2 linked regions of the Daphnia pulex genome follow. The protein of the gene in region 1 interacts with the protein of each later gene in a biochemical or structural test. Links are inferred from orthologs where the notes say so. Each region holds a gene or a part of one and is shown on either strand. Other genes may lie near its edges.

Region 1 (4,556 bases):
TCGAGTGCAGGGAATTTTCGAGTCGCGGAAAGGAGAAAAAAAAAACACTCCCTCATTACGCTGATAACGTCTGATCACAAGGCTGTGCCTCATCTGAAAAACGAAGCTATTCAATTCACCCTGAAAAGAAGAAAATTAACCAGCCAAATGGATTCACTAAAAATTAGGGAGGTGAACCGTGAAACACTTGAAAAGGAGTAATTCGTCCTGATTATTCGTCGTTATCGTTTCTTTGCCGACTAATCTCACGAAAATATCCCAAAAACCGGCCGACCCGTCGACAGTTGGGCAACACAAAACACTGATGACGGGAGGGGCTGGACTAGAGTTCTTTTTTTTATCTTCGCATTAAAGAAAAAAGATACAGCACTAGGCATTCGTGGAATTAACCGACGACGAGTCAATCGATGACGAATTTCCTACTGGATTAAAAATGGACGGTGATAAAAACATGCCGAAATCAAACATGACTGCGCAACTGGTTGCCCTTTACATGCTCCGAAGGCCAATTACAGAAAAAAATAATAAACATCACTAAAATCTATTGGCAAAATTTAAAAAAAAAAGGGGCTAAATAGTTTGGTCATCTACAGTTGGAAATATTTTACGTTTTTCCCTCCCATCATTTCAACATTATTTTATTGTACTGAAAATAATAATTAAAAAAAAAAGAATAACATACATCGGACTACATTTGTAAATGTGGAATGAAAAATACTAACTGGAGGAGATTTTACGATATTCTATGCCCATCTCTCAGATGTCTAATTCGCAAAATAGTTGGGAACAGACTACAACTGGACGAAAAAAAAGGAGGGGGGGGGGGGAGCCCTAGAAAAATTTTAATTTTTTTTTTGTATGAGCGATCGAGTGACAGAAGAAGAAAAAAAGACTAGATCACGTATAACGGAGAGCACACTACAATCGAAAAGAATTTAGAGAGAGTATAAACTTCACCAAAAATGGGTCTCCCGAATCTCGCCGATAATCACGCTGGCTCGTTGAAGTGCCTCGAGCATATCCGCAGCTTCTTTGCGGCGCTGAGCTATGTGCTCCGACTCGGCCAGCAATAAATCAATTTGATCGGGGCGATAGAGGTGAGTTACCAATTCCGACTGCAAGTTGTCCTTGACGTGATTGACCAGGAAGTGCATCACAGCTTTCGGCACGGAATCTTGGATCGATTTACGGACGATGTAAAAGTAGGTTTTAATCAGTCGCTCTAAGGAGAAGAAAAGATGAGTTGTTTTTTAATTGGGACGTTGTTCAACTGGAAAATATAAAGTTTGACGTAGTAGTATACCAATAACTTCACAATCCCTCTTCTCTCGCTCAGACAACTTTCGCTCGGGTTGGTGCACAGCTTCCGAGAGCAGATTCACCGGTTTCTGATGCCCGAAAGGGTTCTGAAGTGGAACGGGTGATGCGTGATGAGTAGGCGTCGCGGCCGGGGTGTTTTCACCAGAATTATCGTTCATCATCAAGTCCTCTCGTCCGGCCGGAAGCAAATTGCTCAGCCAATTGGTTTGTTGTACAAAAGGAGCACCACCACCGTTGCTATCAATCAACGAGACTGATGTCTTCTGAACGCGAATCTGTCGGTGGCAGCAACAACAACATCTTTTGTGACGGACAAAACTTTTGGAATCAAAATGTTATCGAAATCGTACTTCTCTAGACGGAGAAGCAGCCTCGCCGTTGGGAATAGCCGGAGGGAAGAGCACTGGTTGTTTTTTCGACGAAACTTGTCTGGATGGTTGAACTTTTTGAGAGACAGGCTCTTCAATGTGAGAATGCATTAGCGTCGATACGAGCGAAGCTTCACGGTGAAAGTCGGGGTGTTTGGTGTTGATATAAGCGAGCTCAATGGCGACAAGGTTTTCAACCTAAAACAACAAACGTGATTCTCAATCAGAGCGGACAACAAGTTTACCCCCACCGGTATTTACCATGATGTTGGTGGGAGGAAGACGCTGTCTCAACAGTGTAGTGACTACGTCAACAATTTTCTCGTGAAGTTTAGGGAAGCGGAGCATTTCCTGTTGAACTTCCGTGCCGCAATGTTGAATGATTCTTTGCATCTCCTCGTGAACCAATTCAATGCACCGCAGCGAAGGATCTTCGAGGCGACGAATTTGACGTTTCACCAACAATTCAAAAGAAACCTTGTAAAATAAATCATGTTAATGCATTGCATGATGTATAAAGGACAAGTTTTTGTTTTACCTCTGGGACAAATAAGGCAGGCCTGGGACCTGTTGCATTGCGAATAGCAGTGAGTATATCTAATGTGGTTAAACCAGATAGTGGATGAATAGAATCTAAAGTCCTTCCAAACGTTTCGTGGAAGATGTAACAAATCCTCGCACCACCACACCTGCAAGACTGAACTATTAGCAAGAATTTGGTTTGTCGAGAATTGATAAATGTCACTCACAGTTCGGTGGTTTCAATATTCCTGGCCGTGCCTTCGATCGTGGCGCAATACGACGAGGCAAACTTGGTGATGATTTGAAGCAAAGTTTGACTTTTATCTCTGACTTGATCTCCATACGAGTGAAGTAGCGCTTGAAATTGTGACATCATCAAATTGACTCTTGTTTTGAGCTCAGGGAGGCAGTCGCGGATGTGGTGCATCAAGAGTCGTTGCAGGGTTTTCCCCAAGTAGGCCGTTCCGTTGCGGGTTGCCAAAGTGGGATAGCGGCGCTGGAGAAAGCTCATTTCATCTTTTAACGCTTCTTCGATGCTCTGGTTTACATAGAAAAAGTTACTTCTCCAGAAACCTAATCAATGTGTATATAGCGTCGAGCATTTACCTTGTTATTTTGTATGTCTTTTTGAGACCGGTTGACTAATCCAATAATGCCGAGTTTAACTGGAATAACTCTGCCACACAGGACATCTATGGCATCAGTTCCTGAAAGAATTAAAAAAATTCAAACTTTAAGCCCCAGCTGAAGAGATAATTGAAGTTGAAACATTAAAAACTCACCTGCATCCATGAGATCTAACTTGGTCATGACAGCTAAGGTTCTCCTTCCCTCTGGATCAACTTCTCTTGCAAGTTTGAGGGCTTCAGAAGTAGCCAAATCTGTCGTGGCTGGAGTGACAGCCAAAATCAAGCTGTTGGGATTGCTGACAAAACTAAAAATAAGTTCATAAATCTTTGCTTCAATGTCCTCTGGTTGGTCCCCAACTGGAACTTTTGTGATTCCAGGAAGATCGACAAGTGTAAGATTGACTACTTTAGTAGAGTAAACCTGCACAATGACATTAGATCACAGTTAATACAGGGGCAATAACAAAGAAATAGAGTCTAATCAATCACCTTCAAGCTCATGGGCTCATGGGCTATTCCCTTGTTGTGCCCTGCTACCCGATCAGTTTCATGTTCAATTTCGCTCAAGACTTCCCTAAAGTCTGTAAATATTTTGTTTTTCAGATGCAGAAACTTTGCCCATTCTTCCAAGTGTAGTGTCCCTGAAAATATTGACCTTGAAATAATTGCAATGAGATGAAAAGAGTATTGCACAAACAACCTTCATCTGCAGAGCGATGTTCTTTATCTTCTAGTGGGGTATAAATAAGTTGCAGGACTAAAGGTCGTCGTGTAACAATTCCAGTTCCTCTCGGTAAGAATGTTCTGCCTACAAGCCCTTCAATGACTGAACTTTTTCCTGAGCTCTACAGGGGGGGAAAAGAACAAAATTTACAATTATTTATTGCCTTAAAGATGGAACTGAATCGAAAAAAGAAATGTTACTGTACCTGCGTGCCGACAACAACAATCTGTGGTAACTGAATCGTATCGGCTCCGACTGTGTGAAAAACATCTTGCAGTTTGTTGATGACAGGAATTAATTGTTCCATGCTTAAAGAAGATCGGCTTGTTCACCACACGTGAATATATTTGAACGTGGGGTTCTAACTAATCCGTATATTACTTCAGTGTACGTTATTAACAGTTTTCCGCTCTTTATTAAGCAGACAACGGTAGACCAATGAAAGAACTCGACGATGGCCACCTGGCGGTCTCGAAAGAAACTGATCATCAGCTGCAATATTATAAAAAATATGAAAATATGAAAAAGAAAATTTAATATGCTGATTCCAAAAAAGGAGAAATCCGCTTCGGCTATTGCGACAGTAAGGAAATAGTTTGATGACGAAAATCAATTTTTGCGGCAACTCTATGCGCCAAACTGAAGGGCATGGAACGCAGAACGAAAAGGGAAAGTCAGATAATCAATAAAAAAATGATAACGCATTTTATCTACATTATTTGATGTTCTCTTGCTGCTGCTTTATAAAAATGTCTCAAGGTGTATAACCACACGCTTAAGTGCAGTTAGATAAAAAAATATTTTTATGGCCCATAAAATTATTATTTCTTTTTTAAGAACGTCAGTTGCAAAGATGAATAAGAATTTATTACCTCGCCCAAGAAATAATTAGATCAACTACGTTACTGGCTTGATAATCAATAATAATCCGAAAAAATATAGGGCGGAATGTTGTAATCGGGCAATCCCGTTAACTATTGTTTATGTTTTCAA
Region 2 (3,322 bases), on another chromosome or scaffold:
CCAGGCCAGTCTTATAAAAGGGAGGCTGCATCCAGAGATGACGATCAAACCCAATCACGACTTTGCCCAGTTCTCCAACATCACGCGCCAATTTTATTTCATATCGAAAATGAAGGAATCGTTGGGCAACAAATCAGCGACGACGACCAACAACAAAACCAACAACACTGGAAATAACAACAACCGATTGTGTGTCACCGTTCTAGGATCTACCGCCGTTGGCAAAACAGGTTTGTTAATTTTGAATTTTTATTTGGCGCTAATAAGTGGCGTGAATTAATTTATGCAAAATTTGATTAAACAGCGTTGACAGTTCAGTACCTGACGAGTCGATTCATCGGCGATTATTTCTCCGGGACCGACATGACTTATCACCACTCTTTCGCTTACATGGGAGGATCGCTGAAAACCAACGTCGACATTCTCGACATTTCACGGCCATCCCGCAATGACGTAAGTCGTCATCACGGCTCACATTTTCAATTTGAAAAGCTAATTGATTTTGGGTTATAATTAAAGGTGATTGGTGAAGATGAGGAAATGTTATCGTCAGTAGTCGGCACAGAAAAGTGCATGGCTTACCTGGTCGTCTATTCGCTGACCAATTCCAAAAGTTTCGATCGAGCTCGTGAAATCCTGTCCAGGTTACCTTTCCATTCGCCGAAATATTTGGTGGCCAACCAACTCGACCTCCAACACAGACGACAGGTATGTCGAATTTTTTTCCTATTCCAGGGATTTACATTTAATTTAATTTATTGAAATTTGTTCAGGTGTCGCGACTGGAAGGTCAAACCGCAGCCGATGAATTCGGTTGTCCATTTGACGAATTCTCAGCGGCCGAGCCGCAGTACGAAGGCCAACAGTGGGGAGTGAAAATTGTTTTCCAAAAGTTGATTCGCCAATTGATTTCCAATTCGCACGTTCTTCCATATCCGCGGATGATCCGCTTTTCGTCCTTTTCGAAAATGATTGGCGCCATCGTCTCCAAGACGCGCCACCACTCGGCCAATTCCAACAACAAATCGCAGCACCAACAGCAAAAGAATTTCGCCAACCAGCACAACCGCAAATCCTCCATGTCTTCGTGCAGCGACAGGAGCAGCAACTCGAGTGGCAACAACAGCACCGGAAGTGTCGATTCCATCGCCACACTCACGCCCGACATGAGTCTGTTGCACATCAACAGCGCCCATTTGATTCACGGAGTGAAATCTAAACCCATTCCCATCGTCCACCGAAAGCTTTTGACCAGCTCCAACTATCCGTCAAGTCAAATCGCCTCCATATGAATTATATATATCGATTTTATTATCATCATCAACATTTCTTATGACTGGCACAACCAAAATATCATGCAAAATGTACAGCTACAATATATGTATTTTGATACAAATTATTTATATCTATAAACTTTGAATACAAATTTTTTGAAAAGTTAATTACTGTTTTATTCTTTAAATTGTAGTAAGGTCGTATCCGTTGATCAAAACTGTTTTGCATTTTCAAACATTTTTGAAAATCCCGCCTATTCCGTCTGCTGGAAATCAGCTGATATTCCGACTGACTACGTTTTTCAGCTTGTTGTCATCAGTGTATTGCTCAATATTTGATTGGTAATAATAGCAAAATGGAGGACGTTCTAGACGAAAGTATTTCTGAAGAGGATTTGAAGGTACGTGTAACTCTGTAACAATTGTCATTTTCAATTTATAATGTTTGGACTCTTTGGCAGAAATTCGAGCGACGTTATCACGACAGTTTGACCCAGGGAACAGTAACTCAAGACATCCAGTTCAATTATTCCTGGGCATTGATCAGGAGTAAATATCAGGCAGATATCAAGCGAGGGATTTTTCTCTTGGAGGACTTGTCCAAAGGAGGAAATGATGAGGGCAGGAGAGACTACATCTACTACCTAGCCATTGCCAATGCCAAAATCAAGGTAATAAAAATGATCATACTTTTAGCACTTGAAGATGTCATAGTTGTCATATAAATTATCCTACACTTTGGAGAGATGACATTTTTGATCTATCCTAAAAATCGTGTTTGTTTGCTTTTGTTATTTGACAGGAGTACAGCAAAGCTTTGGGTTACACCAAAGTTCTGCTCCAAGTAGAACCAAATAATCGGCAGGTCAGAACTCTAAAAAATGTCATTGAGAAACGAATGGAAAGAGGTATGAAGTTCTTTTGTTGTGTGCACATCTTCATATTTTTAACCCTTTATTTATTTATTTTTCATAATTATTAACAGAGGGACTTAAAGGCATTGCCATCATAGGTGGAGCAGCATTGGCTTTGGGTAGTCTGATTGGACTGGGGGTAGCTCTGGCAAGGAAGTGATAGCGCTCATTAATGCCACGATACACTTCTTATTCTGTAATCCCTTTTGTCATGCAGATTTATGTTATGTGCTGAACTGCTGTGTTGAATCTGAATGTTGATATTTTCACTATCATAAAAATTTTCTTGTGGAAAACTATATTATACTTTCATTCCTTTCTTTTTGTTTTATTTTCATGAAATTCTAGTGTATCAGAAATGAAAGGTATAATGAACAATTACAGATTTACAGTACATTTAGTGTTGTTAATTGTGCGTTGGTTGCGTAAAAAACAAACACTAAAGCCGCACTAAATGCGCACAACAAAAGGTTGCCGAAACCGATTACTAGACATCTAGTAGCACACACACGATTGACACATGACATTTGACAGAAGCAGCCTTGAGGGCTCGCTACGTAGAATCAGATTCTGTGGGTAGAAAAACTTTCGGGCTTACCGTGGCTCCGGTGTAAATATGCCAATCTAACATGTTTTCATGTGTTGCAACATGTAACCTTTGCTCGAGTTAACTGCGTATGCCAACAAAATTACGTGTAGTTTTAGGGGACAACAGAGTAGGCGGCCAGACAAAGCAAAAGTATTATGATATTCCAATGGCAATGACTAAGACGGCCACGAAAGAAGTTTCCGAGAATGGCGCTGGCAAAGTAAACAGTTACAGAGATTTCACATCAACGATTCATAAACCAGCTGCTCAACAATTATTCATATGTCCAGGTATCGCCTTGATTATTTTTCAGACTCTTTAAAGTTGAAAAATGACATTTTTCCAATTCTGTAAACAGAAGTTTCTCTGAAATGGGGATGTGCAATCATCTTTATCCTGGCGTCAGTGTGCTATTTAAATTCAGTAAACGGGTCCTTTGTGTTTGACGACACAGAAGCAATAGTAAACAACGAAGATGCTAAAGGCAAGACTCCTCTCAACGAAATATTTTTCAATGACTTTTGGGGCACATCACTCAATCACAA

The links.
Region 2: the proteins of dynamin-1-like protein (region 1) and mitochondrial fission 1 protein-like form a complex in vitro, tested with the Homo sapiens proteins (2 studies listed by BioGRID). The link is inferred for Daphnia pulex from reciprocal best matches to the Homo sapiens genes DNM1L and FIS1.

What each region holds. Positions count from the first base shown.
Region 1 is NC_060025.1:9,333,685-9,338,240, reverse strand, and holds the end of dynamin-1-like protein, read right to left. Parts: exon of another isoform or gene 4,345-4,556; intron 4,056-4,344; 5' UTR 3,871-4,055; coding exon 3,769-3,870; intron 3,685-3,768; coding exon 3,540-3,684; intron 3,481-3,539; coding exon 3,329-3,480; intron 3,261-3,328; coding exon 2,993-3,260; intron 2,918-2,992; coding exon 2,817-2,917; intron 2,749-2,816; coding exon 2,438-2,748; intron 2,378-2,437; coding exon 2,227-2,377; intron 2,166-2,226; coding exon 1,950-2,165; intron 1,887-1,949; coding exon 1,671-1,886; intron 1,596-1,670; coding exon 1,304-1,595; intron 1,223-1,303; coding exon 954-1,222; 3' UTR 623-953; downstream 1-622. UniProt on the Homo sapiens protein: Functions in mitochondrial and peroxisomal division.
Region 2 is NC_060026.1:16,281,972-16,285,293, forward strand, and holds mitochondrial fission 1 protein-like, read left to right. Parts: upstream 1-1,527; 5' UTR 1,528-1,630; coding exon 1,631-1,675; intron 1,676-1,735; coding exon 1,736-1,945; intron 1,946-2,076; coding exon 2,077-2,182; intron 2,183-2,259; coding exon 2,260-2,348; 3' UTR 2,349-2,581; downstream 2,582-3,322. Other genes in the region: ras-related and estrogen-regulated growth inhibitor-like protein, read left to right, coding at 38-230, 305-453, 520-708, 774-1,292; protein O-mannosyl-transferase TMTC4-like, read left to right, coding at 2,866-3,067, 3,136-3,322. UniProt on the Homo sapiens protein: Involved in the fragmentation of the mitochondrial network and its perinuclear clustering. Plays a minor role in the recruitment and association of the fission mediator dynamin-related protein 1 (DNM1L) to the mitochondrial surface and mitochondrial fission.